Stegostoma tigrinum: one gene and its partners. The protein of the gene in region 1 purifies or fractionates together with the protein of each later gene. This does not show direct contact. Links are inferred from orthologs where the notes say so. Each region holds a gene or a part of one and is shown on either strand. Other genes may lie near its edges.

Region 1 (7,883 bases):
TCACCAGTTTACGAACTCTGTCCAGAACCAAGTCAATGATCTCCTTGCCAATTGTGTAGTGACCACGGGCATAGTTATTAGCTGCATCTTCCTTCCCAGTGATCAGCTGCTCAGGGTGGAACAGCTGGCGGTAAGTACCAGTACGTACCTCATCTAGGATCGAGAGACAGTGCAATTTCAGTGTTACAATCAACACATGTAACCACAAGATGAAATCAGGCTCATGTGGCATAACCAGAGAAGAGGTCTGCACGGTTAGTGTTACACATGCCCCTCACCTACCTATTACAGTTGGCTCCAAGTCCACAAACACAGCTCGTGGAACATGTTTGCCTGCTCCTGTTTCACTGAAGAAGGTGTTGAAGGAATCATCTCCACCTCCGATGGTCTTGTCACTGGGCATCTGCCCATCAGGCTGGATGCCATGTTCCAAGCAGTAGAGCTCCCAGCAGGCATTTCCGATCTGGACTCCAGCCTGGCCAACATGGATACTGATGCACTCACGCTGTAAGAGAAACAAACAAAGTGGTGATCAACTAGTTTGACATCTGATCTAAAAACATTCCATACAAACTTTTACTGCATTCATGCTCTGGTAAGCATTACCTTTAGGAGAAAGTCTACTACTCCCTTGATGGGTAGGCAGGCAGATGCTACCTCCATCAGCAAAATACATCTGATTGTTGCCACAGATGTCTTACTAATCAGTTGTTAGGACAGTCATGAATGATGTAAAGGCTGGATAGGTAACCACATAGCAATTTGAGGCAGCTGAAGACATGTAGTTTATGAGAAGCATCTGTACTTGATTGGATTCCTTGTATGACACTGTATTGGAAAGCATTTGAGGGGGTGGTATTACTCCCATTGTGGTCACATGCATCAGGTCTATGCTTGACCTATACAGATGTGGTTCAACTGCATCAGGTCAACTTCTATTTAAGTATCATATACTTGACAGGAGTGCAACTCATGCTGGAGAGACATATGAAAGGGGCAGGCACGCAACTCAAGTTGGGACTGAAACAGAACTGAAATTTAGTATTTCAGATTTGCAGGTAATATGGAAATCAAGCACATCACCCAGCCATTTAGCAATCGGCATATGCCATCTTCAATATTGCATCAGTGTCAATTATGATAAAACAATTACTTCATAAAGTGTACTCCACCATCCCAACATACATTTAATGCTTTTAGCAATTGTTGACATTTCTCAAAGAAATTAAATCTTATTTTGAAATCAATGATTGTTCTTGGGTATACATTTAAGAGGATACTTGATTTAGACGTTTCCTGAAAAAAAATTGAAGCACAAGTAACGATTTTACAACCCACTAGACCCATCTGTAAAAACAGTTATAACCTAGAATGGGATTGCTGTATAAATCCAAAGTTTTTTTTAAAATGAAAAAAAATCGTGTATCATGGAGAATCTCAGAATCCCTACATGCAGAAGGGGGCTATTTGGCCCCTCGATCTGCACCGACCCCACCCCAAAGAGCATACGACCTAAAACCCTCCGCATCCCTGCATTTCCCGTGGCTAATCCGTTTAGCCTACATCTGTGAACACCATAGATAATTTAACACGGTCAATCCAACTAACCTGCACATTTTTGGATTGTTAGGGGAAAACCAGCAGAAACCCATACAGAAGCGGGGAAAACATACAAATTCCATAGTCACCCGAAGCTGGAATCGATCTTGTATCCCTGATACTGGCCAGAAAAAGGGCACATCCGTGCAATTCTTGCGTTTAGCATTGCAATACGCAAACTAGCTAGAATTTCTGGTTCGGATGCTGAATTTGGGTGGGGTCATACTGCAGTGCAGATTGTCTCCAACTGCCGCCATGTCTCCCCTCCCCCCGACCCCTCCCAGAAGGGAAGCAGACGGATTACAACCACTCTCCCCTACACCGCCATCTTTTTTATCTTTAAGCCCAGTAATTTAGACAGGCTCCATTATCCGTAGTTTGATTCTTAGCACAGCTTTACGATGTACAAAAGCTGCCTATTTCACGGTGACCTCGTGTTGACGTTGGCTTTGTGTCCACGTATGACCGTCACTGACGTGTACTGTTACTAAGCAGCCCTACAGTGATTTCACTAGGGAATGGGGACGAAAGCTTTCAGTTTGTAGCTATGGTTGACAAGCCATTGAGCAGTAAGTGTGGAAACGTCAGTAATCCCGACACAAAGCAATTTCGGGGGTCGGGGGGGGGGGGGGGGGGGAAGTATGCCAAATTCAGCTCACACCCTCTGCACGTTGAGAGTCACTGCCCATTGTGTTCCAACATCTCTTTCACATATCCTTGTAGACATATGCAGCGATTAGCTAGCGAAAAGCCTAGAAGTGATCTTAAATTCGCTGTTAAGTGTAACGGATTTTTTCCCTCCGGATAACATTACTTGCAGAAGTCCATTGAAATGGCTTTATTTCATCACCCTTAGCATTAAGTGTGAAATTGATTGTATTGACGGAAAATTGCATGCGAATAGCGTACGTGTACACTATCTTTGATAGCAAGTTATTCCCGTTGTAATTAAATCATTCACAGGCAACGTAGTTTGTTGCATTGTATTTGCAACACGAACAGATCATTTGGTCGGTTTATGCTCACATGAGCCACCTCCCACGCTATCAGCCTTTCTTCCGTTCCTTTCACTTCGGACCGCATTTAGCTATCCCGTGATGTTTATGTTCACGAGATTTGCGTAGTGGAATTTAGAAATTAAGTCAGACAAGTGTACTTAAAAACAACAATTAAGATGCTTAAAAACGAGAACAAGTCTTACAACACGAAATTCCAACGTGTAGCTTGCTGGGGAGAAAGAAAACTCTTTTTGTATTAAACAGCATCTTACCATGATGCCTGGTCCTTGATAGTAGACAAAACAAATGGAATAAAGAGAGGACTTCAGCGACTTCTTCCTACAGCGCGACTTTTACGGGTCGTCGTAAGAAAAAACCTACCCTCAGCTGGGAGAGACATGTTCTTATAGTGGGGCCAGACACCGGGTCCTGGTCAGTGGAGCCATTCCCATTGGAGGAGGTCTGTTTGAGTGACGAGGAACTATCACAATGCTGACTCTCTGATTGGAGGAAACATGCTCCGTTAACCGCTTCGCGGGTTCTGATTGGGTAGACGCTCCTGAATAAACTAATCGCCTTGACCACGAGTGATTTGGAACAAAGGCTGACATTTGAGAAAACAGCATTTGAACTGGCGACGAAATAGTAAGATTCCGGTTTTCAGAGGATAAAATACCTCAGCAATTAATCAAACCACTGTTCTTCTGAAGTAATAAGATGGCCTTGCCTTATAAAGAGAAATTCAAAGGAAATATTTTTTCACTGATAACATCATGGACTACGTTGAACTGCTTATTTGATGAAGGAAATTATTAAATATCTTATAAATACCAATTTACAGATTAACAATTTTCTGACTATTCTCTTCGTTAAAAAGTTTTTCATAATTAACGAAGCCACGTTTCCATCTATTTTACACAAGGAATTTCCCGCCCCCAACGAATAATGCATTCTTTTACAAACCACGTTCAATCTTTTAGCAGAATTACACGACTAGAACCTGCATGTAAAAAGGTGGTATTTTATTTACTGGCCACTGTAAAATTAATACAATAATTCGTGAAGTTTGTTACATTCGTGAAGTTTGTTACATTAGCTCTTTGTAACGATATAAGACGGAATTGCTGTTTCTCTCACTGTATCAGAAAATGTTCTACACGTTGCAATTCGGCCAGCGCGTTCTGTTAACGGCGCCTTCTCAGTTCTAAACTGTCACATCCCGACAAACTTCGCCGCAAATATTGCCCTCCATTGGGGCAGGATCGGGAGACAAAATAAAACGGATTCCTTGGTAATAGCAACTTTGTCTCTTGTTGCTATTGTTTCATGTTACGAAACTGGCTGTGGAATGGGACAGGGTGGGGCGGGGATTTTTCAGTCTTTTGTGCTGGACACGCGTCAATACAGTGTAACTATTTTAAATTGAAGCGGTTTCAGAGAAACAGTCTATTCCTGATTTTGTCGAATTATTAAAAAAAACGAATTTTAAAACATTTCCCACGAGCATTATTATTTTTATTCTATTGTATTTTAGGTGATTTTGACTGTCCGGAGTAGCATATTTCAGCAAACAGACAAAGGCAGTCCTACACACTGGATATAGGGACGTAGTTTTCTTTGCTGGTAGAGAAGGCATAAAGCTGATTATTACACCAGACATTAGCCCGGTGTAAGCTTCAATCACACCTATCAGCTGATGGAGGGAGTTTGTGTCTCGAAATGGAGGGGTCCAGATTCGATTGTATTGTAAGCGTCTCCAATAGATTTGTTGATGTTATCTGAACATATAAATGTGCCTGTTATATGTGGAAGTCAAATTTCGCTGTCTTATTTGTACGGGCAGAAAACCATATCTGGATATTTTCTAAAGTGGGAAAAATTATTATTCGCCCCCAGTAACAATTATGCATTTCAAAAGAATGGTCGCTCGTGTAACATGTGACTCACACTGCAGCTACAGCGTTCTACGTGATTCATTCTGCAGTGACTGCTTTCTCCCCTTTTCCTCAGGATGAGAGCACTAGGTAGTCACAATGAGCCATTTGCTACATCACCCAAGTAACCATTTTTTCACATGGTTGATCCTAAACAGCCATTCATCGCTTGTCATTGTCAGGAGAGTGAGGGCACAACCGTGCTGCTACATGGCGTGATATGGAGCCACGCAGAATAAGAGGGCACGGAAACAATCCAATCTCCCCATCCACATACGATCCTTTTCCCATCCTTCCCAAATCAATTCCATTAGAAAACCCTCCAATCCCTTTGTCTCAGATTCCCATCTAGGTTCTACTTGAATTAATCTATGCTATTTCCCTGCAGCCACTCCCTGGTAATGAATTCCACATTCTCACCATTCTTTTGGGTGAAGAAATTTCTTGGGAATTCCCTACTGGATTTCCTGGGGACTTTCATGTTGCTAACCTCTGGCTATACTCTTCCATACAAGAGGAAACATTCCTTCAGTATCCATAAAAAAAATTCATCCTTTCAAAGATCGCTATTTGCTCACCCCTTAATCTTTTTCAAGGGAAAACAGACAGCCTATTCACCCTTTCCTGATGGGTATAGCCTCACAGTTCTGGTATCATGATTTTCACAATCGGAGTAGGAATCATAGTTGATTTCACCCTGCCTGGCTCTTGGTCCTGAAGTTAGTTTTAGCAGTTACAGTCCCCAAGATCAACTAATTCATGACAAATAACTCCATTTCAACAAATGTCAGGCAGCTGAAATTCAATCCATAACTTTGTTCAACAGAATCTTCTAGATAAATAACACACTTCAGAAATGTTGCACTGCAATAATGATCTAATGAAGGAGAAACATTTGGTGTACAATAATAATTTTAAATGAATATAGAGAACAATAGTTATTTGGGAGAATTATGAGACTATAGTAAGTTGCTAGCAAATACTGAGGAACAAAGAGACCTTGGTGCACAAGTCCATAGATCCCTGAAGGTGTCAGCACAGGCAGACGGGGCGGTGAAGGTGGTGTACGGGAAGCTTGCCTTCATGAGCTAGGGTATAGAATTTGGAACAAGGAAGTCTTGTTACAATTTTATAAAGAACTGGTTAATCCACAGACGGAGAACTGTGTGCAGTTCTAATCACCAAATCCAAAGGATGTGACTGCACTGGAGAGGATACAGAGGAGATTCATCGGGATGTTGCCTGGGATGGAAAGTCTTAGTTATCAGGAGAGACTGAATAGCCTGGACTTGTTTTCCCTGGAGCAGAGGAGGCTGACGGGGGGATCTGATTGAAGCGTACAAAATCATGCAAGACATAGGTAGGGTCAATGCAAGAATCTTTTCCCCATGCAGATATGTCTAAGACCAGAGCAAATACGTTTATAGTGAGGAGTAGGTGGTTTTCAGGGAATCTGGGGAAAACGTTTTCCCCCAGAGTGTGGTAGAAATATGGAACATGCTGCCTGAGGGGGTGCTGGAGGCAGTTACTCTCACAACATATGAGCAGCAGCTGGATGAGTACTTAAAATACCACGGCATAGTAAGCTACAGACCAAGCACAGGTAAATGGGATTAGTTTGGTATTTGTTGTTCAGCATAGACATGGTGGGCTGAAGGGCCTGTTTCTATGCTGCATGTCTATGATGGCTGAAGACATGGTTGATAGTGATGGTGTTAAAAGAGGTGGAGATTTGAAAGAACATGGAGTTCTTGGAGAGTTGGAGTAGAACACAGTGATATGTTGGAGTGAGGCAATGATAATGAATAATACAAGAATGACCATTTTAAAAAGTTAGATTTAAGTGGACCAGGAACCAATATAGAATGATATACAGCCTGTTTTCTGATCCCTGAAATCAGATTACAAGCTGTTCACTTCACCTGTAGGCATCCAAACTCTGCTGCCCATTTCCAAATGCGGATCAAGTTCCATTCACTTGTCACCCCTGTGCTTGCTGTCCCTTGTGTCATTCTAGATGGTGACTGTTGATATGTAGTTCAATGATAGGTTAAATCTCAGCCAGGGCTGATGATAATGCTCATCTGCTATCTATGTGTCCTTCTCAGCAAGAGTCACTGAGGAAAGCTGAAAGTATAACTGATATTCTTTAGTTTGGAGACGTTGAAGTATCCCTCTTACTCCCCAGGCAATTCAGAAGGACCTTTCTGGTTTAATTTTCTGGCTGCATTATCCACTTGCCTACTGGCAGAACCACAGCCATCTTCAAATGTACACATGTTAATCCAGAAATCTGTCTACCAATGCCATTGATTCTGCCCAAGATACCGATCAATCAATCGCTGACCCTGGGTTTATTAAATCGACAGATAGATAATTAGAAATGTGAATCCTGTTGGGCCACTTTTGGCTTGCTGATTGTTTTTTATGAATAGTAAGAAGAACATTTTTCCTTTATAATAACGCATTTCTGCTACAATGAAACTTAAGGACAAATAATTAAATTATTTCCACAATTCTTTTGTTTACTGGTTCAAGAGCATGTCAGATTTGCCACTGTCAGTAATCTCAACACAGCTTGCCTCTCCTAGATTGCATGTTGGAAAGCTAATTAGAATGGACAGTCAATTTTTCAATCCTGTCGCTAGGAGATGAATAGCTCTGTTACCATGGAGACTGCCTTGGCACCCTGGTGGGTTGTAAGCCTCTTTTATCACATCAGAGCATACGACTGCTGTCACATCCATAAAACAGTATTTGCAATTCACTTTTTAGGATATTGTAGGCACTTCCACAATCCAATTTCCCTATATAATTGTGCAATATCTTTCAGAGAGAGTTGAAAGAAAAGAATCAGTATCTAATTGAATCAGAGATAATGGGAACTGCAGATGCTGGAGAATCTGAGATAACAAAGTGTGGAGCTGGATGAACACAGCAGGCCGAGCAGCATCTTAGGACAAAAGCTGACGTTTCGGGCCTAGAACCTTCATCAGAAAAGAAGATGCTGCTTGGTCTGCTGTGTTCATCCAGCTTCACACTTTGTTATCACGGCATCTAATTGAGTCAGTTTAGTTTGTAAGAACAGAAAGAAACTTGCATTTCATAATCTCAGGGTCTTCCAAACACTTTACAGCCAATGAAGCACTCCAGTTGTCTTCATTGTACTGTAGAAGACGTAGTCAGCAATTTGCATACACCACTCAATGTGATGATGACCAGATAACATTGTCTTCAGTGATGTTGGTTAAGTGATAAACATTAGCAAGGCACCAGGGGATCTGCCCACTGTTCTTTGAACAGTGATCCTGGGATCTTTGCATTCACCTCGGAGGTCAGGAGAGGTCTCAGT
Region 2 (7,003 bases), on another chromosome or scaffold:
CGTCAGAGTCTTAGAATTCTGTGGCAAGTAACTCACGTCCTAAGTTCCCAAATCTAATCTATCTTCTACAAGACACAAATAAGGAGTGTGATGAAATACTCCCAATTGCCGGGATGAGTACAGCTCCACAACACTCAAGAAGCTTAACACCACCCAGGGCAAAGTAGTCTACTGGAATGATACTAATCCACCACCTCAAACATTCAGTCCCTACACCACCTCCACACAGCGGCAGCAACATGTGCCATCTCGAAGAAGTGCAGCAGTAACTTACCAAAAGATAGTAAGTACTGCAGATGCTCGAGTCAGAGACAACACAGTTTGAAGTTGGAAAGTTGGTTTTTCGGGGCAGGACACTTCTTCAGCCCAGTCCTGAAGAAGGGTCCTAACCCGAAACATCAACTTTCCTGCTTCTCTGATGCTGCCTAACCTGCTGTGTTTCTCCAGCTCCACACTGAGTTGTCAGTAACTCACCAAGACTCCCTCAACAGCACCTTCCAAACCAGTGGTCTCCAACATCTAGAAGGACAAGGCAACAGATACACAGGAGTGCAACCACTCACATATTTCGTTCAAAGTTACACACCATCATGACTTGGAACTATAATTGCTATTCCTTTACTGCCACTAGATTAAAATTTGGGGAACGGTGTCCTGCTAGTACTGGAGGTATTTTTGCTATCTTAAGGTCAACATCAGTTAATGAAAGGGGCTTACCACCATCTTCTCAAACCAGGACAATAAAATGCTGGTCTAGTTAACAAGACCCACATCATATGACTGACCCAGATCAACTATGAAAAGAACGCACTCCAAAAAGAATATATTTCCCTCTTTGAAAGAATAAGATGGATTAAAATTAATACAGTCATTTTCAGAAAAAGGATGAAACATAGTGTAGATAAGTGAGACATGAGAAATCTACTGCGGAGTTGTAGAATAATTACTGCACAGAAGGAACTTGTTTAGCTTGTCGTGTTTGCACCAACTCTTTTCAGGAGCAATTCACCAAGTGCCACTCCTTAGTCCTCAAGCTGTGGCACTGCACAACTTTCCTTTTCAAATAGTACCCCAACTGATTTTTGAATGCCACTAGCAAACTCACAGGGAGTACATTCCAGATTCTAACTATTTGTTGCATGAACATTTCCCATGTTCATCACTTTTTCTTCTAGAACATAGAACAGTACAGCACAGTACAGACTCTTTGGCTACACTGTTGTGCCAACCTATTATCCTATTAAGATCAAGCTACCCTGCATACCCTACATTTTATTATCAACCATGTGCCTATCCAAGAGACACTTAAAAGTCTGTAAAGTATCTGACTCCACTACTACTGCTGGCAGTGCATTCCATGTGCCCACCACTCTCTGTGTAAAGAACCTACTTCTGACATCTCCCCTGTACCTTCCTCCTATCACCTTAAAATTATGCCCTCTTGGACTAGTCATTTCTGCCCTGGGAAAATGTCTCTGGCTATCCAGTCCATCTATGCCTCATGATCTTGTACACTTTCCTCAAATACCTTTAAAATTCATGCCTTCATAGGCTTGCTTCTTCCTCTCTACTGTGTTAAGCTGCACTTGATCTTGAATATCTGTACCAAATCAAGAAAAAAGAGTTACCTGGTTGAACAGAACTTGATATAGTTGAAACAGGCATTTTGACAGAGCTAATGGGAACTGCAGATGCTGGAGAATCCAAGATAACAAAGTGTAGAACTGGATGAACACAGCAGGCCAAGCAGCATCTTAGGAGCACAAAAGCTGACGTTTCGGGCCTAGACCCTTCATCAGAAAAGGGGGATGGGGAGACGATTCTGAAATAAATAGGGAGAGAAGGGGAGGTGGATAGAGGAGAAGATAGGTGGAGAGGAGAGTATGGGTGGGGAGGTAGGGAATGGTTTGGTCAGCCCGGGGAGGATGGACAGGTCAAGGGGCGATTAGTAGGTAGGAAATGGAGGTGCGGCTTGAGGTGGGAGGAGGGGATAGATGTGAGGAAGAACAGGTTAGGCAGGCTGGGACGAGCTGGGCTGGTTTTGGGATGAAGTGGGGGAGGGGAGATTTTGAAGCTAGTGAAATCCACATTGATACTAATGGGCTGCAGGGTTCCCAAGCGGAATATGAGTTGCTGTTCCTGCAACCTACAGGTGGCATCATTATGGCACTGCAGGAGGCCCATGACGGACATGTCATCTGAAGAATGGGAAGGGGAATTGAAATGGTTCGCGACTGGGAGGTGCAGTTGTTTATTGCGAACCGAGCAGAGGTATTCTGCAAAGCGATCCCCAAGCCTCCGCTTAGTTTCCCCAATGTAGAGGAAGCCACACCGGGTACAATGGATACAGTATACCACATTGGCGGATGTGCAGGTGAACCTCTGCTTAATATGGAAAGTCATCTTGGGGCCTGGGATTGGGGTGAGGGAGGAGGCGTGGGGGCAAGTGTAGCACTTCCTGCGGTTGCAGGGGAAAGTGTCGGGTATGGTGGGGTTGGAGGGGAGTGTGGAGCGGACAAGGGAGTCGCGGAGAGAGTGGTCTCTCCGGAAGGCAGGCAAGGGTGGGGATGGAAAAATGTTTTTGGTGGTGGGGTTATTGTTTTGTCCAATTTCAGCAATACTCAAATCAAGAACACAAGAACAATGAGTAGGCCATTTGGACACTTCAGCATGTTTTGCTGTTCAGTAAGATCAAGTTGATGTGACTGCAGTTTTCAACTCCACTCTCCTGAGTGCCCTATTCCCGCTAACTATTTCCTCCCACTTATCAAATATCCACCCAACTGCATCTTGAACCAATTCAACCACTGGATCCAGAGGAAGTAGACTCCAAGCGTATTATCTCAGTCTTAAATGGATCACCTGCTATTTTGAAACCATGCTCTGCACTGTTCCATCCGCTTAGCATCCATCGTGTCAAGTAACCTTAAGATCTAAAGTCACTAGGAGACAGTAGTAACCAAAGATGCTGGAGTCAGTGTCAATACAGTGTGGAACTGGAGGATCACAGCAGGTAATGCAGTTTCAGAGTTACAGGAATGTCGATGTTTCAGGTTTACGCCATTCCTCTAGACTGTCTCCCTGATGCTGCCTGATCTGCTGTGTTCCTCCAGCTCCACACTTAACCTCAAGATCTTATAAGTCTCATTCTTCTTCACTCTATTAAGTACTTGCTGAACATTTCCTCATCCCTAAAAAAGGTGGGATTATTGTGAACAAATAAGGCTGATGCCTGCGTGTTTGGCTATGCATAAAGAGGATCGCACAATGTAATGTCCAACCACTGGGCAACAGAGCCCAGGTGGAAATTCCAACAGTGTCAAAGGTGTGTTCTAGCCTGTACTATCATAAAAACTTAAGAATTAGGAACGGGAGTAACCTCAAGCGTGTTCCACCATTCAATAAATCATGGCTTATCAGACATTCCTCACATCCACTTTCCTGCCTTATCACTATAACCCTTTATTTCCCTACTGATTAAGATCCTATATTAGCCATAAACGCACACAAGAACTCTTGGTTCTTTGTGGCAAACAGTCCACAACCCTGTGAGAGAAGAAATTCCTCCTCATATCAGTCCTAAATTGGGGCCAACAACAAAAACAGAAGTTGCAGGAAAAGCTCAGCTGGTCTGTTATCATCAGTGAAGAAGAAAAAATGTGTACTGAGCAAGGGGTCACTGGTCCCGAAACGTTAAACTCTTGAGTTTTTTTCTTCACGGATGCTGCCGGACCTGCTGAGCTTTTCTAGCAACTTCTGTTTTTGTTTCTCCCAGCATTGACCCTGTCAAGCCCCTTACGAATCCAAGATGTTTCATTGAGATCACCTTTCATTCCTGTAAACTCCAGTGCTTTGTTTTCCCCGCTTGTGTGGTGAACGATTAGCCGGCTTCACATCACCACCACGTGATACCAGGCCACCGTTCTCTCGCCATTTTCCAGAAATTTCAAAGGTGACGTCACATATGAGCAGCGGTCGGGCGACGTCATAATGACGCAATAACTGCCAAAAGGAAGTGACGAAGCGGAGATTTTTTTCCCCTCTCTCCGTTCGGCGGCCGGTGGATGTTTCTAGAGCGGGAGTTGTTGGTGAGGGCGAAGTCTGGGTTGTAGTAAGTCGGAGCAGGCGTACGGAACCGAGAGGTGAGACCTTAAAAAGAATACTCCAGGATAGCCTCCCAAGCGCGTAGCCGGTCGCGATTGTCGTCAGCTCAGATTTATGCTGGCAGAGGGGAGTGAGGCCGAACGGGGGAGGCGTACTGCCAGCGAGAGAGAGAGAGAGAGAGAGAGAGAGAGAGACAGAGACAAAACAAAATGGGTGAAAGGCCGTTGGTTTATCTAAATGCGTGGGCCTTTCGGCCTTGGAATAAAGCTGATTTCGCTTGAGGAAACAGGTTGTTATGGAGATGGGGTGCTGACCAAAGAAAACAAAAGCCTCTCTTCCATTCCTGTATTCTCCAACTTGTGTATGTCTTTGTCTGTCTTCTCCCCTGCCGCGTGTGTGTGTGTGTCTCCGTCTACCTTCTCCCCTGCCGTGTGTGTGTGTGTGTCTCCGTCTACCTTCTCCCCTGCCGTGTGTGTGTGTGTGTCTCCGTCTATCTTCTCCCCTGCCGTGTGTGTGTGTGTGTCTCCGTCTATCTTCTCCCCTGCCGTGTGTGTGTGTGTCTCCGTCTATCTTCTCCCCTGCCGTGTGTGTGTGTGTGTGTGTCTCCGTCTATCTTCTCCCCTGCCGTGTGTGTGTGTGTGTGTCTCCGTCTATCTTCTCCCCTGCCGTGTGTGTGTGTGTGTCTCCGTCTATCTTCTCCCCTGCCGTGTGTGTGTGTGTGTCTCCGTCTATCTTCTCCCCTGCCGTGTGTGTGTGGGTGTCTCCGTCTATCTTCCCTGCCGTGTGTGTGTGGGTGTCTCCGTCTATCTTCTCCCCTGCCGTGTGTGTGTGGGTGTCTCCGTCTATCTTCTCCCCTGCCGTGTGTGTGTGGGTGTCTCCGTCTATCTTCTCCCCTGCCGTGTGTGTGTGGGTGTCTCCGTCTATCTTCTCCCCTGCCGTGTGTGTGTGGGTGTCTCCGTCTATCTTCTCCCCTGCCGTGTGTGTGTGGGTGTCTCCGTCTATCTTCTCCCCTGCCGTGTGTGTGTGGGTGTCTCCGTCTATCTTCTCCCCTGCCGTGTGTGTGTGGGTGTCTCCGTCTATCTTCTCCCCTGCCGTGTGTGTGTGGGTGTCTCCGTCTATCTTCTCCCCTGCCGTGTGTGTGTGGGTGTCTCCGTCTATCTTCTCCCCTGCCGTGTGTGTGTGGGTGTCTCCGTCTATCTTCTCCCCTGCCGTGTGTGTGTGGGTGTCTCCGTCTATCTTCTCCCCTGCCGTGTGTGTGTGGGTGTCTCCGTCTATCTTCTCCCCTGCCGTGTGTGTGTGGGTGTCTCCGTCTATCTTCTCCCCTGCCGTGTGTGTGTGGGTGTCTCCGTCTATCTTCTCCCCTGCCGTGTGTGTGTGGGTGTCTCCGTCTATCTTCTCCCCTGCCGTGTGTGTGTGGGTGTCTCCGTCTATCTTCTCCCCTGCCGTGTGTGTGTGGGTGTCTCCGTCTATCTTCTCCCCTGCCGTGTGTGTGTGGGTGTCTCCGTCTATCTTCTCCCCTGCCGTGTGTGTGTGGGTGTCTCCGTCTATCTTCTCCCCTGCCGTGTGTGTGTGGGTGTCTCCGTCTATCTTCTCCCCTGCCGTGTGTGTGTGGGTGTCTCCGTCTATCTTCTCCCCTGCCGTGTGTGTGTGGGTGTCTCCGTCTATCTTCTCCCCTGCCGTGTGTGTGTGGGTGTCTCCGTCTATCTTCTCCCCTGCCGTGTGTGTGTGGGTGTCTCCGTCTATCTTCTCCCCTGCCGTGTGTGTGTGGGTGTCTCCGTCTATCTTCTCCCCTGCCGTGTGTGTGTGGGTGTCTCCGTCTACCTTCTCCCCTGCCGTGTGTGTGTGGGTGTCTCCGTCTATCTTCTCCCCTGCCGTGTGTGTGTGGGTGTCTCCGTCTATCTTCTCCCCTGCCGTGTGTGTGTGGGTGTCTCCGTCTATCTTCTCCCCTGCCGTGTGTGTGTGGGTGTCTCCGTCTATCTTCTCCCCTGCCGTGTGTGTGTGGGTGTCTCCGTCTATCTTCTCCCCTGCCGTGTGTGTGTGGGTGTCTCCGTCTATCTTCTCCCCTGCCGTGTGTGTGTGGGTGTCTCCGTCTATCTTCTCCCCTGCCGTGTGTGTGTGGGTGTCTCCGTCTATCTTCTCCCCTGCCGTGTGTGTGTGGGTGTCTCCGTCTATCTTCTCCCCTGCCGTGTGTGTGTGGGTGTCTCCGTCTATCTTCTCCCCTGCCGTGTGTGTGTGGGTGTCTCCGTCTATCTTCTCCCCTGCCGTGTGTGTGTGGGTGTCTCCGTCTATCTTCTCCCCTGCCGTGTGTGTGTGGGTGTCTCCGTCTATCTTCTCCCCTGCCGTGTGTGTGTGGGTGTCTCCGTCTATCTTCTCCCCTGCCGTGTGTGTGTGGGTGTCTCCGTCTATCTTCTCCCCTGCCGTGTGTGTGTGGGTGTCTCCGTCTATCTTCTCCCCTGCCGTGTGTGTGTGTGTGTGTGTGTCTCCGTCTATCTTCTCCCCTGCCGTGTGTGTGTGTGTGTGTGTGTGTGTCTCCGTCTATCTTCTCCCCTGCCGTGTGTGTGTGTGTGTGTGTGTCTCCGTCTATCTTCTCCCCTGCCGTGTGTGTGTGTGTGTGTGTGTGTGTCTCCGTCTATCTTCTCCCCTGCCGTGTGTGTGTGTGTGTGTGTGGGTGTCTCCGTCTATCTTCTCCCCTGCCGTGTGTGTGTGGGTGTCTCCGTCTATCTTCTCCCCTGCCGTGTGTGTGTGGGTGTCTCCGTCTATCTTCTCCCCTGCCGTGTGTGTGTGGGTGTCTCCGTCTATCTTCTCCCCTGCCGTGTGTGTGTGGGTGTCTCCGTCTATCTTCTCCCCTGCCGTGTGTGTGTGTGTGTGTGTGTCTCCGTCTATCTTCTCCCCTGCCGTG
Region 3 (7,744 bases), on another chromosome or scaffold:
GCCCTCATTCAGGTGAGTGGGGAGCATTCCATTCCTCTCATAACTTGTGCCTTATAGATGGTGGCAGACTTTGGTGAGTCAGGAGGGGTATTTCTCACTGAAGAATTCCAAGTCTCAGACCTGCTGTTGTAGCCACTGTATTTATGCGGTTAGTCCAGTCAGTTTTTGGTTATTGGCAACCATCAAGATGTTGATAGCTGTGGGATTCAGTGATGGTAATACCATTGAATTTCAAGAGAGAGATGGTTTGAGTCTCTCAGAGATGGTGCTTGGCAGTCACTTTTGCATTATGAATAATACTTGTCTGTTTGGGTTCTGCAAGAGTCATTCAGCTCGTGACCTTGTTACAGCTTTTGTCCAAACATGGACAAAAGAGCTGAACTCCCTAGATGAGGTAAGAATGACAGTCCTTAACATCAAGGTCACAGTTGCCTGAGTGTCATCAAGAAGCTCTGGGAAAACTGGAGTCAATGGGAATCAGGGGGAAAACTCTCTAGCACAGAGGAAGGTTGTTGTGATTCTTGGAGGCCAGTCTCAGTACCAGGATATTGATGTGAGAATTCCTTAGGGCAATGTCTAGGTCCAACTGTCTTCAGATGATTCAAGTGGGGCAACCAACTCACCTCCTGTCTGCCCAATACCTGTCAGCAGCTTAGTGGAATACTGTGTACTTGACTTAATAGATGCAGCTCCAACTCAAGAACATTGACACCAACTAGGACATAGCAGCCCACTCGATAGGCACTGTTGCCATCAATCACCATCAACATTCTTTCTCCCTTTGTGCATACTGTTGACATGACATATTGATGGCAGTCTACAAATTCCACTGAAGTAACTTAAGACCCATTTGACATCATCTTCTTAACTTGTAAATTCTGCCATAAATAAGCACAATAGCAAGAGTTACATGGGAACAACCCCACCTGCACGATCCCCTACAAGCAACACAGTATTCTGTTTTGGAACTAAATCTCCATTCCTTCACCGTTGTTGGGTCAAAATCAGAAACACCCTTCCTAACAGCATAGTAGGTGTACTTAGCCTATATGGACAACTGCAGTTCAAAAAGGCAGCTCTAATGAACAGTTATAGATGGGTAATAAATGCTGGTCAGCCATACCCCCATGAACAAATAAAAATAAGCTGATAACTGAAAGGATGTTGATATGCCTACAAGGGCCATGTAACAAAGCTGGCTCCAGTACTTTTAGAAGAACTATACGCATTAACATAAGCTTAGCACCACCAGAGATACAGTAACATTCCTCCAGCTGTGAGGGATAAATAAATAAAACAAAATACCTCTATTGAGCGAAGTGTCTGTAGGCTCCTGTTGTTAGTAATACAGCCCATGTATTGTATAACTTTTGATTCTCAATATCACAAAAGGGTGGAGTGAAGTAAACATTTCTGCCAAATAAACTTTTGAATTAATTTAACATGAATTTGTCAAAATATAACAAGAGTCTTCTGGAAGTTTCTGTCCACTGAGCAGCGACAAAACCCAGAACATTACTTTCCTATATGCATGGTGCAATTTGTACAGTTCCTCTCATAGTTTGTGTTTTGTTAGAATTTAATGTGCATTTCTTGACCAAGTGTGAATAAAAATTATTGGAAGTACTCAGTGGGTCAGCCAGCATCTTTTGAGAGAAACAGAATTAACATTTTGAGTCAATGACCTTTATCAGAACTGAGAAGAAATGTAAAGTTTCAAAACCAGTAGATATGGGAGAGGAGGCTGGAAATAATAAAAACTAGGGTTTGTGATAGGGGTGGGAGATTAACAAACAAAAGATTTTGTGTTCAAAATCTAAAGAAAATGATAATGGGCATTATAAATAGCGAAAGATCATGTTCAGGTTAGGAGATTAAGTAGGATTGGCTATATAGTAACCATCTGCATACAATATATCAGGATAAATAATGAAATAAACCAGCAAAATAAAGTACAAGGAACAAGTTGGAGGCAGAACTCTTGTTCAAATGTTACTGAACACAGTATTGAGACCAGAAGACTGAGAAATGACAGATGAATGCTGAGATGTTATTCTCTGAGTTGGTATTGTGCTTCTTTGGAAAATCGTACTTGGCCATGGACAGAAAGATCAGACTTGAAGCAACATGAAGATTTGCAGGAAATGACAGGAAATTCAGGTCATGCTCGCAAATTGAACAGGTGTTCTGCAATGCGGTCACCAAGTCTGCATTCAGTCTTCCCAGTGTAGAGCACAGTACATCTTGAACAGCACTTTCAATGTGTTACATTAGATAAAGTACAAGGCAATCACTGTTTCACATTTTATTTATTCATGTGGAATGTGGATGTCACTGCCTGGGCCAGCATTTATTCCTCATTGTTAGTTGCCTTGAGAAGGTGGAGAGCTGCAGGCAACTTGGAAGGGACAAAGTAGAAAGATAACTGTTACATCTTCCAAGATAATAAAATGTGAGGCTGGATGAACACAGCAGGCCAAGCAGCATCTCAGGAGCACAAAAGCTGGTGTTTCGGGCCTAGACCCTTCATCAGAGAGGGGGATGGGGAGAGGGCGCTGGAATAAATAGGGAGAGAGGGGGAGGCGGACCGAAGATGGAGAGTAAAGAAGATAGGTGGAGAGAATATAGGTGGGGAGGTAGGGAGGGGATAGGTCAGTCCAGGGAAGACGGACAGGTCAAGGAGGTGGGATGAGGTTAGTAGGTAGATGGGGGTGTGGCTTGGTGTGGGAGGAAGGGATGGGTGAGAGGAAGAACCGGTTAGGGAGGCAGAGACAGGTTGGACTGGTTTTGGGATGCAGTGGGTGGGGGGGGAAGAGCTGGGCTGGTTGTGTGGTGCAGTGGGGGGAGGGGACGAACCCAACCTGTCTCTGCCTCCCTAACCGGTTCTTCCTCTCACCCATCCCTTCCTCCCACCCCAAGCCGCACCCCCATCTACCTACTAACCTCATCCCACCTCCCTGACCTGTCCGTCTTCCCTGGACTGACCTATCCCCTCCCTACCTCCCCACCTATACTCTCTCCACCTATCTTCTTTACTCTCCATCTTCGGTCCGCCTCCCCCTCTCTCCCTATTTATTCCAGCTCCCACTCCCCATCCCCCTCTCTGATGAAGGGTCTAGGCCCGAAACGTCAGCGTTTGTGCTCCTGAGATGCTGCTTGGCCTGCTGTGTTCATCCAGCCTCACATTTTATTATCTTGGAACTCTCCAGCATCTGCAGTTCCCATTATCACTGTTACATCTTCTGTTGTTACATAGAAAGGTGCCAGGATTTGTTTTCCTACCTTGTGCCAGGATTTGGGACATCTGCTTTGGGCTAAAGGGAATCTTCCACTGGAAGTGGAAGGATCCACTGGTCAAGATCCCCATAGACAGCAATAATATAGGTAGAACTTGGAAAGAGGTTCTGCTGAGTGTGAACAGCGAGGGACTAAATTAAAAGCAGGTAGTAGTATTTTGGGGGAAAGAGCGTCACAGAAAGCAGCAAACTATAGATCTAAGAGCCTTAACATCAATTGTAGGGAAGGTGCTTGATCCATTGTGAACAATGTCCAAGCAGAACACTTAGAAAATCACAGTGATCAGGCAGAGAGAATCTTTGTGAAAGGGGAAATCGTGTTTTACCAATCTATGAAAGTATTTTTCATAAAGTAATGTCAATGGTAAATGGAGGAAAACCAGTGCATGTTCTCTATTTGGATTTGTAAAAGGCATTTGGTAAGGTGCTACATCAAAGGTAGCTAAACAAAATAAGAACATGTGCTATGGGTGTAGCATATTAGCTTTGATTAGCTAACAGGAGCAGAGAATAGGATTGAGTGAGGTTGTGTGTTGGCAAACTAATGAGTCAAGTGCCTCAGGGAGCACTGCTGAGTCCTCAACTAAAGGTAAAGTTGGTGTAGTTCTACTGGACCATACACCTGCTCTCTCATTAGAGAGAGATAGAGAAAGAGCAAGAGGGTGAGAGAGAGAGAGAGAGAAAAACACCTGGTGGTGGTTTAAGCTGAATGTCACCACATCTCAAGTGAGTGGAGAGGTTGAGAAGGAGAGTTCTTCTAGGTAACCATAAATGGTGTGTGATTTGAACCCACACTGTTGGCATCACTCTGCATTGTAAATCAGCCATTCAGACAACTGAGCTGACCAACCCTCTACGTACAATATAAATCAATAATTTGAATGGGGGATAGACTGTGTAATATCTATATTTCCCAATGTCTTCAAAATGTGCGGCAAAGTAAGTTGTCAACGGAGAGATCCACAAAAGGATATATACAGGCTAAGTGAGCAAAAAATTTAGCAAACGAACTATAACATGGGAAAATGCGAACTACACGGGGAAGGACGCGTTGGGGGGTGACTGAGGAGTGGATGATAATGTCATGGGAGGAGAGTAGTCCTCATGAAAGGGCAGAGAATGGAGGGGATGTGGTCGGTGGCATTGTGAGGGAGCTGGCCATCAGGGCAGAGAGTGGGGCACCTGTCAGTCCCAGCTCTATGACCTGTTGCTGTGTGACTGATGTTAGAGTGGCCCTGCCTGATGGGCTGAGGGAGGCTAGCTCAGAGCGTGGAGGGGGGAGGGGGAGGGGGAGAGTGTGTAGCGTTTGTCTGTTCCCATGGAGACGAGGGCTGGCGGCCGTCACGTGTCCCCCTTCTCTCCTAGCAACAATGTAACGTCTTCGGCGGCACGTCACATCCGTCAACAAATAGGTCGGGGCTGTAGCTCCGGGAGGAGAAGATTGGCCTTGGGGTGGGAGGGGGGGACAACCTCCGTGGGGGCAAGGAGCAGCCGCTGCCGCCCACATCGTATAGAAAGGGCGTGGGGGCGCTGCTGAAAACTTCTCCACGCCAGGGTAAGGGGGCAAAGCCCCACCGGCAGAGCGGATCCGGAGGTGGGGGTGACCGATAGCCTGTCACTTGGAGGGGAAGGGTGTGTATCAGGGCAGTAGCAGCAACCGCCCCCACCCTCACCCTCACCTCTTCTCTTGTTCAGTCCCGGAGTCCCCCCCCCCCCCCCCCCCACCTTTTGCTTGCAATGTCTACCCTCTAGACCAGCCACCCACCTTGCCCCGAATCCGATGACCCCACGGAGTGGCCCTTTAAATCCGAGCCCTCTCATCCCCGGCGTTCCCGTAAACACGGGTGACAGCCGAAGCCCAGTATACTCCGCTCAGTTTCCCCAGGGGGCGGGCTAAAGCTGGCACAGCACCGTCCCAGCTGCTGCCGCTGACACCGCGAGTGCCGGGCAGCTTCTCCCCCGTGTGTAGCGAGTTCAAGAAACTTGTTTTCATAATCAACTTGTTTCGAGATGTACTGTGCTCTGGTTGGGGAATTGAACCCGTGATCCCCTTGCTCAGAGTTAGGGGCATTACCACTGCCCCCCCCCCCCCCGCCAAGTGCAGCGGGAGGAGGCTGGCAGTGCTGCTTATGTGTGTTTTTCCGGCTTGTTATGGTCTCTCTCTTTCTCTCTCTCTCTATCCGATCACATGAGCCTGCATGACGTGGAAAGAGGAGCTTTAAAAACCAGCCTCAGCTCCCCATCTACGGCTGTGTTATTGCACCGAGTGCAGGAAGAGAGAGAGAAAGGGTATTGCATCCCTTCACTGACCATTCCCAGTCCTCCAGCTGCTCCAAGGTTTTCGATTACAGTCCCGGTTTGCTTCAGCGTTTGCGGAGTTTTGTGTTTACATGAATACTTGGACTGAAATGCGGCATTCTAAATTTAAATTCTTTTGAATATTCAGTACCTCAAAGGTCATGCTTGAGTGGGTGAAAGCAGTTTATTTAGTGGTTATTAGAATTACTGCGTTATATTGTGCTAAGTGCATATTTCTTCCAAAAACTCGTTCTTTTTACTTGAAACCAGGGTTTAGAGGTGATCGTATTTGTTGTTGTTAGTCCAGTTTCAGAGAAATTTAGAGATGGACATGTTCTCTATTGAATGTGTTTTTCAGGTTGAACATGGAAGAGGGGTCGGGCGGTGGGGATCGGACGAGAGGATACAAACGGAACTTAGTTCCTATCTTTAAGTCAGTCATTATGTCTTTAGGAATTTACAACAATTACAAAACCATCCTGTTTACTATAAAATGTCTTGTAATTACACAATTCTGCCAGTGGCGGTACCGTAGCTCTTACTAGGGGGAAGGTCAAATTATAAAATGACATTTCTTCCGTAGTTAAATATGTAAATATAGGCATCAATAATGGAGACAGTTCCGTACGATGTAAGATGGGTAATTTTAATGGCCTAGTTTATTTATGTAGCATTTATTCTGTACATTAAATCAACTGTAGGGAGTAATATTGTAAACAAACACCACTCAGTTTTGCAGTTAAAACTATTAGAGATGAGATGCACAGTGAAACGACTGGCATACACCAATTATAATGGGATATTACATGGGGGGGGGTTATGTTTGGCATGTTTTATTGTAGTTTAAGCATGCTCGGAAACATTTGACCACTACCCTGATATTCCCACTGGAATAGTAAACAGTTTTTTTGAATGTTTTGATCTTTTATAATCATCTGCAGGTAAAGTCTGCTATCCAAAATTGTTGACTTTGCTTAATTGAGATCTGAGATGAACTGTTTCTCAATAATCTTCTAAACTAAATGGTGAGAATCAGTGGTAGGCCCATACGACCTGAAAGATTCCAAATTCGATTTCCTGATGTCAGCGTTACTTCCTATAACTCCGTTCATTGGGGCAGCTGTAAAGATCAAACCGTTACCGTCCATTCCTATGAGTTAGCCATTGAAAGATTGACAGGGTCCCGATCTATGTTCGTAAACCCTATTTGGGAATGTACAGATCTCCAGTGGACATAGCTGCAGTGCCTCAATGGTTGCATTTATGGGCACAATCTGATTTGCTCCGATGTTTCCATGGTGAAATAGTGAGCTGACACTAAATTTCACGCATGCCTCATGTTTGTGAATGATACCGCAGTACAGTACTTGAAACTGGGGGATATTTAATGTTGACAACGCCAAACAACAGAAAATGTACACGCTCTTAATTATGAGCTGGTCTTCGAAACAGGCTGAAGGGAGGCAACAAAAGGTAGATGCTGCTGTTTTCGCATAAATCAAAATTTGCATGATTTACAAATTAAAAACTGTGTAATTTATATACCAGCGTTTACAATCTGTTTGTCCCAAAGTACTTGACGGCATTTCAAAAGTGTATAAATTACCTGTAATGTCAAATGCTACAGCCATGGAGCATGTAGCAAGCTGCCTCATTCACGGATATGCTATTAACTGAACAATCATTTTTTTTCAGTACTGTTTGAGAAATAAATATTAGTCAGGACATCAGGAATATCCTCCCTTGCTATTCCTTTAAATAATATCTTGGGATCTGTTATACCCACCTGAGAGGGCCGATGGGGCTTCACTTTTTCATTGTTGGATCTAAAACTCCGTCAGTGTGCAGTGGAAGGTCTGAGCTGTATATTTATGCTTAGGTCCTGGAGAGTCACTTGAACCCACTAACCTCTGACTCAGATGAGAATGCTACCAAATTGTGCTCAGCTGCTACAATTTAATCTAACTGGCAACTTTATTCAATCATGAATTATGCTGTACACAACAGCAATGCAGTTATGAGCCTCTTGACCACTTTTCATGTTTTCAAGAGACTTTCAAAATCTGCCCACAATTTTGACCTGTCTTGCCACACAATTAGTTCCATCATTTCTCCATTTCACACTAACATCATACTGCTTGTGTAAGTTT
Region 4 (7,930 bases), on another chromosome or scaffold:
AAAATTAAAAGGAGCCATGAATAAAAAGCAAGATCACGCAGGTTCCTGTGACTCTACTAAGGGGGGAAAAAGATAATGGACACCAAGGGTGGTTAAATCCTACCCCAAATATTAACTTGCTCCTTCCCCCAGTCCTGAAAATGTCAGCACACTCATTAACTGTGGCTGCCAAATGGCATCTGTACAAAGTTGTGAAACATTAATTCAATGTAATAGCCAGAGGGTTGAAAATTGCCTAGTCCAGCAACTCCATGCCAGTCAATTTAATCTGTGCTGGTAAAACTGAGGTGATAATGCTGGATAAAATTATTAGTCACTTAAGTAAATACAGGTTAATTAAGGAAATCCAATGTGGATTTGTTAAAGGTAAATCATGTTTAACCAACTTGATAGGAGTTTGAGTGGTATCATAGTGGTGAAGATAATGCTGTTTTTATAGCGTCTATCAACTTCCAAAATATATTTGTTAAAGTGCCACACATTAACCCATGATCAAAGTTAGAACTCATGGAATGAAAGGGACAGTAGCTACATGGGTCCAGAATTGACTGTGACAGGAAACAACAGCTGAATGTTTGTTTTCAGACAGGATGACCACTTAAGAATGACTTCCCCAAGAATTTGTTAGGACACCGACAGTACCTGACAAATTACTAACCTGTATAGGGTAAAACTTCCAAATTTGCAAGTGACAAAGCTTGGAACCATTGTGAACAATGAAGCAGATGGTGTAGGATAGCAAAGTCATATGCATAGTGAAATGGTCAGAAAGGAGAAATATAATGCAGAAGTGGGTGAAATGATTAATTTAGCATGAAGGCAGCAGAGAAACAATACAAAGTAAAAGATGCAAATTTTGAAAAAGAGACCAGGAGCAGAGGGACCAAGTCAATATGTAAGAAAATTCCTAACATGGCAAGGCACATCAAGTGAACAACGAATAAAGGATGGGACATCCTAGGTTTCATTAATGGTCGTAAAGTCAACAAGCAATAAATTTTATTAAACCTCTACAAATACTGGCTCAGCCTCATCTGGACTATTACATCTATTTCTGGGCACCATATTTTCCAGTGAAGAGATTAGAGGGGATGCAGAAAAAATGCCTCCAGGGATGAGAAACTTCCGTTACACAAGGCAGACTGAAGGTCTTCCTCCTTGAAGAGGAGATTAATACAGTTATCCAAAATTTCAGAGTTCAGATAGGGACAAAACAACAATGCAATGATCAAGAACCAGACAAAACAGATTTAAGATATTTGGCAAAAGAAACAATAGCAACACAAGGAGAAACATTCACACAGGTTAGGATCTGGTATGCACTGCCCGAGAGTGGCAAAAGTAGGGTGAATTTTGACTGTCAGGAGGGAATTAGATCATTATCCAGAAAAGAAAATGTTACAGCACTACACGAAAAAGACAGTAGTGGCTCTAGATGAAGTGCTCCTTTGGAAGGCCAGCTGACATGACAGACCAAATGACCTCTTTCTATGCTATAACCATTCCATTATTTTAGAAAGACAGTTCATGAGCTTAATTAAAAAAACAGAAAGCTAAAGATAGATGTTAAACTTGGAGAAAGAACTGAAGTAGCAAGAAATTGGGAGTTCAAGATTACATCTTCAGACAAAAGCAGAGGACTGTTAGCAGAAGTTACCTAAGTGATGTTCAGTTTCCAGACTATAGAAGAGGCCCCAACAAGATCAAGGAATACAGAACTTCATTTGTTTAAAGAATATTGGGATATTCTGTGATCACGGTAGGCCTTTCTTCCTGAAATTTGGAAGAAGTTCACATAAATTGTTGCTCCGAGGGTGTTAAGATTTAGGCAGAAGGTCAGTGAACAATCTTTGCACAAAAGCTTAAGCTTCATAAATAGCTTTAGTCAGTTAAACATACTTGGAGGCCCTCAACTATTAAATGCACTACAAGTGTCCTACCATTCATAAACACGACATGCGTATAAAATAGACAATAAGTATTATTAGGAGAAACACTGATAGTCGTATTGTTTCAGGACATGCAGTTTTAAAGACGTTAAACTAAAAAGTGTACGAGATCTGCAAATGTGTAACTGAAACAATATGTAAATTGAGAATCTTACAGCAGCTGCTCCAGCAGGCTTGGATTATAGTGTGACCTCTCACCCCTTCACCAATAGCCAATGAGCTGAAGCCACACAGTCTCCCAGATTTGTCATCACTATAACTCAGAAGTAAAAAGAAGTGACTGAGACTTCACAAGGAAAGGCCGAAATGTACCTGACGGGTAACCCTCCCTCATACCATTACACTGGTATTGCACACACACTCAGCCTACATTGCCCCTACTCAGTACCTCATAAGCAGCCCCCAAATCCTGGAACTTAGCCTGCGCTGCCGGATCGTCGGGGTTTCTGTCGGGGTGCAACTGCAGTGCCAGTTTGCGATAAGCCTTCTTGATATCCTTCACCGAGGCGCTTTTAGATACCCCCAGAATCTTGTAGAAATCCCGGCTGTCCTCAGACACAAACAAAAAAAAAACACGAGATATGAAGAAAATACACACAACTGAAATAAGACCTTACAGCCCTTTCAGTGACTGATGAACAACGCACTTGGCAAAATTTTGTTTGTTAAAAAACTGAACAAGTTCCCACCCGATGATCACACCGGGGGGTCACTCTAACGCGTTAATACCCATGATATTCATTCAGTGAAGTGAAGGTAGATAGGAAGAGCTGCAGGAACCTGAGCTGGAGATCTCTCCCTCTCACTTACCCTGTCAGAACCTCCCCGCTCAGACACAGCAGCACAATACACACAGAGCGCACACCCGCCGCCATGCTGCACACTTTTCCTCCTTCCCTTCCTTGTTCTTTTTTTTGTTGTTTTGGCTCCGCTGCCCACGTTACTCTCTACGAGCTGGTTAGCGGCAACTACCGGCAGAGGCAACCTAACAGCATCGCCGCTTCCTCATGCCTGACGCTTTCAGGAGGGGCGGAGTCCAAGCTCGTACTCCAACTGCTAGACCTTCTCATTCGTTTGCTATCGTACCGGGAAAGGGGTTGGGCAGAGGAAGAGGAGGGCACGGGGGTATAGTTGTGTGTGTGTGTTCGTGCAGGAAATTATGCACAGAATTCTAATAAGTCAAAAACGGAACTAAAAATAAACAAGGTGGAAAATCTCATTTATATTTTCGCCTTTTTTAAAAAATTGCTTCGTGTTAGGTTTTTAAAGTTGAAACATGTAAGACTGAGTTAAAGTTAAATGATGAAGTGTTATTGCGTTAGAAAATGTACAGTCCTGTGTCAGTTTTTTTTATTTCAAAAGCTTAGTTGCATCACAGTGCTGTCCAAGAAGTGTTTAGGATTCTTCCCGGAAAATGGAAAATACCGTTAGTGGATAAGTGTTTTGAGAGAAGATTGAATAATTATTTGAGGACGAGTAAGATTCTAATTTTGAGTAAAATTGTGTGCGTTGGCAATAATAAGATGATACAGATGGTCATCTTTGGTGGACATGTTCTGTGATTCTAAATAAACTTATTGTTTGATGTCTGCAATTATATATAGCATCTCTAAACTGCCTTGCTACCTTTTCTCCATCTTCAAAAGCATCTCCTCTTGGTCACCTCCATTTAGTTTTCTTAGTACAACCTGGTGAAATATCTTAGGAAATTTTACTAAGCTATAATATTAATGTAAGTTTTTGTTCCTTACCAGATGGATTTTGCTTTTACATAAATGTATTCAAAGATCTTGGATTCATAAAATAAATTATGAAACTTCAAAATAATCCACAATCCATTTTGCCTGTAGGATTGTGATTTGGATCAATTAAGACTCATAAGGAGAAAAAATCTGACTATTGTGAAATAAAAGACTTGTATTTATAAGGCAATTTTTGAGACTTCCTGATATCACAAAGCAATTTGAAGCCCATTAAGTACCTATGAAGTACTGTCACTTCTGTAATTTAGGAAACATTGCAATCAATTTGCACTCAGAAAACTCCCACAAGCGGCAGCAACATAAGCTAGAATGAGGCACTGGCCACTTTAGTGTGCTGTGCCCAACTTGGAGTTTGAGCCCCGTTTGGAAACCTGGGAGCTTCAGCAGTGGCAGCACTGCCAAGATTGACCCAGCTCGGACTCGTGGTGGCGATGTTAGTGGAAGTAAGATGGTGCCGAACAGTGCTGACACGGTTCTAGTGGCGGTGGTGGGGCTCCAGGACGTGGCTGGGCCCAGGTATCTGACAGTAGAGGCGGTGGCATTCTGGCTGCAGTGATGTGTGGGGACTTGGAGCATCTAAGTACTTGCAGACTGAGGGATGGACTTTGTGACTGTTTTTCTGGGAGCAAGAACTGATGGTGGAGGTGGGGGAGTGATCTAGACATTTCCTTTTGTTTTGCCTGTTTCTTTTATTTCTGTTTGTGTTTTTCCTCCTCTCTTTATACTAAGATGGCACTAGAGAATGGTGACTTTTTACATTTTTCATTGTACTACTGTACCTGAGTATATGTGACAATAAAATCTAAATTTAAAAACAGCAGTGGGATAGTGACCAAATTATGCTTATTTTTTAAAATGTCTATGAGGGATATATGTTAGCCAGGCCTCCAGGGATAATACACCTGTTCTTCATTGAATTAGTTTCAAGGGATATTTTACATTCAACAAAACAGGCAGATGGGACCTCGGTTTACCACCATATCCACAAGACATACTGTTTCGAACAGTACAATGCTTCTGCAGTTTTGTACGGGAAATTTCAGTCTTGATTTTTGTGCTCAAGCCCTGGAGTGTAACTTGAACTCAGAACCTAGGCATTTAGAGGAAACAGCACTACAAATATATTAGGAAAACAAGTTATGACATTTCAATTATGTGTCTTCATCAGAATTGACTCTTGATTTATAAACCTATCAGCAGAATTCCAGGTTCTGTATCAAATTTTCAGTATTTTGCAGGCTCTCCTTTTTATCTAAGTTGTGTGTATCACTATGGAGATATCTCTTGTGCATCCCTTCAAATAATCGACTAAGTCAGGAAAGGAAGAAATTTTTATGCTGGAGATGTTTATAATTTACATTTTCATATCTAATTTCCTCGACCACTCTCTCAACAAGAGTTAGTGAAGCAGGCATACTGAAACATGGGAAGGTAAAATTGCCATAGGTTAATTCATGAAACAGAAGTAAAATATTGTTGCTGGAAACTGAAAAAACAGCTGAAAATACTCTGCAGATTAGGCAGCATTTGTCAGAAATTTAAGGATAGCTGATCTAAAATATTAACTTTGTTTTCTTTCCACCTGATGCAACCAGAGAGGTTCAGTATTTCTAGCATTTTCTGTTTACTGATAAAACATTTTATTTTGGGAGCCGGTATAAGGTTCCAGATTTTTGTGCCCCACGTGAGTGGTTTGAGCGCTGGACGAAGGGTCACTACAACCTTTTGGATCTAATGTTAGTACCAAGCAATCGAAAAGAAGCAGAATACTGCAATGTGGATATATAGAGACAGAAAAGAAGAAAAATGCTGGGAAATAGAATTAACGGTTCAGGTTTTGTGGAACAGCCTACGAGCTAGAAGGATCAATATAAGGTAGAACATTTTTAACTTTTTTCAGCTCCGACGAATGGTCCTGTATCAGAAAACGTTCACTGTCTCTCCATCTTCGCAGATGCCGCCTAAACTGCTCCGTTTAAAAGCATTTTCAAGTGCTTATTTCAAGTACCTAGAGGTTGTGTACACACTGAAAATGCAAAGTCCTGCTTATTGTCGTCCAGTAAGACTTGGTTAAGACTCGGGCGGATCGACTACAGGAATGTGACCGAGACAAGCTAGAGTAAGACAACTGAAACTTGGTTGCGTTGAAACCAAGACCAAAGCTCAAACAAAAACATATTTGTTTAAAGTCCCCAAATAGCGAAATGGCCAGGTGTGGACAGAATTGCATCGCCTTGTAGATATTCCGGGGTGTACTTATTGTAAATGTGCGTAGTTCGGTCTGTGTATGAGATAAAGTCTCTGTTAGTCCTATCCGTTTGTAACTGCGATGATATGCAACAGGCTTGTTGCAAGTAGCAGTACGGCCTCAGGATGCTGCTGCTACCGCCACGCCTGCCTCTGGTGGGCCGAAGCCCTCCGTTCCGCCGCCCACCGTCGTGTCTCGGGCTAGGAGCTGCACACTGCGAGCGGCGGCGGAGACTGCAGGGACAGGCGCCGCCTGGCTGGGCCCAGCTCCAGCTCCAGCTCCGGACACTCCGCGGGCCTGGTAAGGAGCGCCGTGTTAATGGTCTGACTCATGTAGGGATTGCAGTGACTGAGGGGCCGGATAGATTCCTCTTCCCTGACCCAGGAGGGCTGTGCTGAGAGGAAGGAAACTGCTTCGCTGCTAGCAGGAAACACGGTGTCCAACTGTTGTTTTGTATTTGCTTTCTTAATAATTATCTTTCCCTTTTGCATCTGAACTGCATGTGTATATAGTCACGTTCATCCCTTTCTTCTCGCTAAATCTGCATATTTGAAAACGACTTGTTTTTCTCTTACCCCATCTCCACTTTTAAATAAACAAACGTTGATTTATAACAGATAGCCTCTGAAATACAAAAGGTTAAGGGAAACTTGTAAGAGCGAAATCAAAACGTGGTTGCTGGCCCCTAAAGGCCTCATTGAGCTGGTGGACCTCAGAAAAGGGGCAGATACCAGCAAAGAGCCGCCACCCCGTCCAAAGCCTGCTGGCTAAGTCTGTTGATGTCCACTTTGGCCATGCCGAGCAGCTATCCCACAAGGAGGTGCTTTGATCTGTCCACCCCTCCTCCTCTCAGGGTGCCCATAAATCAGGAGCATTGGGCAGAAGTGCAACCAGAAAATTAAAAGCAACCCCTTTTTTAAAAAAAACAAAAGTTATTCCAAACAAAAACATAAAAAATTTATTCCCCCAAGTCACAAAAGCTAAATGTGGCCTGTAAATCTACTTTAAATTTAAATTGCTTGATACTACTGCAGGTAACACTCTCCATCCCATATCCCTGATGGAAAGAAGAGGATTTCCTTATAAAAAAGCTGTCCACTGGGTATTTCTGTTGCCAGAAGGTAAAAACTTATTCCAGGACATAATAGGAACTGCAGATGCTGGAGAATCCAAGATAACAAGGTGTAGAGCTGGATGAACACAGCAGGCCAAGCAGCATTATAGGAGCAGGAAGGCTGACGTTTCGGGCCTAGACCTTTCATCATTTTATCTACTGAAGGATCTAGGCCCAAAACATCAGCCTTCCTGCTCCTAAGATGCTGCTTGGCCTGCTGTGTTCATCCAGCTCGACACTTTGTTATCTCTAAAAAGGAAGTGGAAATTGTGCAGCAGCCCATACAGGAAAACACTGTTGTTTTGAAAGATAAAAAGGTAAATTGTGTGATGCAGGATCCCAAGGGAGGTTTTGGTTTCAGGTGCCAATGTCAAATTCCAAACAAAAAGGAATCAGTGCACCTGGAAGCTCACCAGACACTCCAGCCACTTTGACGCCCCACCCCCATGAGTTCCTCAAGTATCACAGGCTTTGGATGCGTAGTGGTTGTTAGTTGATGCTGTAACATCCAATTGCACTGGTGCTGTTCAGCCCACTCCTCTGCTGTCCAGTACATAGAGCCTGGCCACATTGACACCCTAGCCACCAACTGTACCTTAAACTTTGATAACAGAGAGCCTGTTCCTGAGCAGCACCTCCCTTATGACAGCTGCCACTTCAATAAACAGTGAACTACAGTAAGAAGGTTGTATTATGCTAGAAGAATTGTATGTTTAGCCAGAGAAACTGGGCCAAAGCACTATGCAAAGCTACCTGCATTTGAACTCAAGATGGCAAATGTCAAATAATTTAAATTCCCCAGTTGCTGTGGATGGATTTGAACTTTCATTTATGAAATGGTACTCTAGCCTTAAAT

Evidence for each region.
Region 2: the proteins of tubulin alpha-1A chain (region 1) and dnajb6b purify together in Homo sapiens (pull-down; 3 studies listed by BioGRID and IntAct, with this or other methods). This does not show direct contact. The link is inferred for Stegostoma tigrinum from reciprocal best matches to the Homo sapiens genes TUBA1A and DNAJB6.
Region 3: the proteins of tubulin alpha-1A chain (region 1) and T-complex protein 11-like protein 2 purify together in Homo sapiens (affinity purification with mass spectrometry; 3 studies listed by BioGRID and IntAct, counting the BioPlex papers as one, with this or other methods). This does not show direct contact. The link is inferred for Stegostoma tigrinum from reciprocal best matches to the Homo sapiens genes TUBA1A and TCP11L2.
Region 4: the proteins of tubulin alpha-1A chain (region 1) and dnajb11 purify together in Homo sapiens (affinity purification with mass spectrometry; 3 studies listed by BioGRID and IntAct, counting the BioPlex papers as one, with this or other methods). This does not show direct contact. The link is inferred for Stegostoma tigrinum from reciprocal best matches to the Homo sapiens genes TUBA1A and DNAJB11.

What each region holds. Positions count from the first base shown.
Region 1 is NC_081404.1:13,027,759-13,035,641, forward strand, and holds the start of tubulin alpha-1A chain, read right to left. Parts: upstream 3,007-7,883; 5' UTR 2,873-3,006; coding exon 2,870-2,872; intron 506-2,869; coding exon 283-505; intron 154-282; coding exon 5-153; intron 1-4. UniProt on the Homo sapiens protein: Tubulin is the major constituent of microtubules, a cylinder consisting of laterally associated linear protofilaments composed of alpha- and beta-tubulin heterodimers.
Region 2 is NC_081355.1:140,060,044-140,067,046, reverse strand, and holds the start of dnajb6b (dnaJ homolog subfamily B member 6b), read left to right. Parts: upstream 1-3,997; 5' UTR 3,998-4,142; intron 4,143-7,003. UniProt on the Homo sapiens protein: Has a stimulatory effect on the ATPase activity of HSP70 in a dose-dependent and time-dependent manner and hence acts as a co-chaperone of HSP70. Plays an indispensable role in the organization of KRT8/KRT18 filaments.
Region 3 is NC_081378.1:36,829,936-36,837,679, reverse strand, and holds the start of T-complex protein 11-like protein 2, read left to right. Parts: upstream 1-4,741; 5' UTR 4,742-4,851; intron 4,852-5,508; exon of another isoform or gene 5,509-5,633; intron 5,634-6,532; exon of another isoform or gene 6,533-7,067; intron 7,068-7,744. UniProt on the Homo sapiens protein: Promotes the migration of muscle-derived satellite cells (MDSCs) during differentiation throught interaction with FMNL2 and therefore may participate in microfilament assembly.
Region 4 is NC_081360.1:29,052,070-29,059,999, reverse strand, and holds the start of dnajb11 (dnaJ homolog subfamily B member 11), read right to left. Parts: upstream 3,003-7,930; 5' UTR 2,825-3,002; coding exon 2,760-2,824; intron 2,495-2,759; coding exon 2,338-2,494; intron 1-2,337. Other genes in the region: tbccd1 (TBCC domain-containing protein 1), read left to right, coding at 6,086-6,260. UniProt on the Homo sapiens protein: As a co-chaperone for HSPA5 it is required for proper folding, trafficking or degradation of proteins.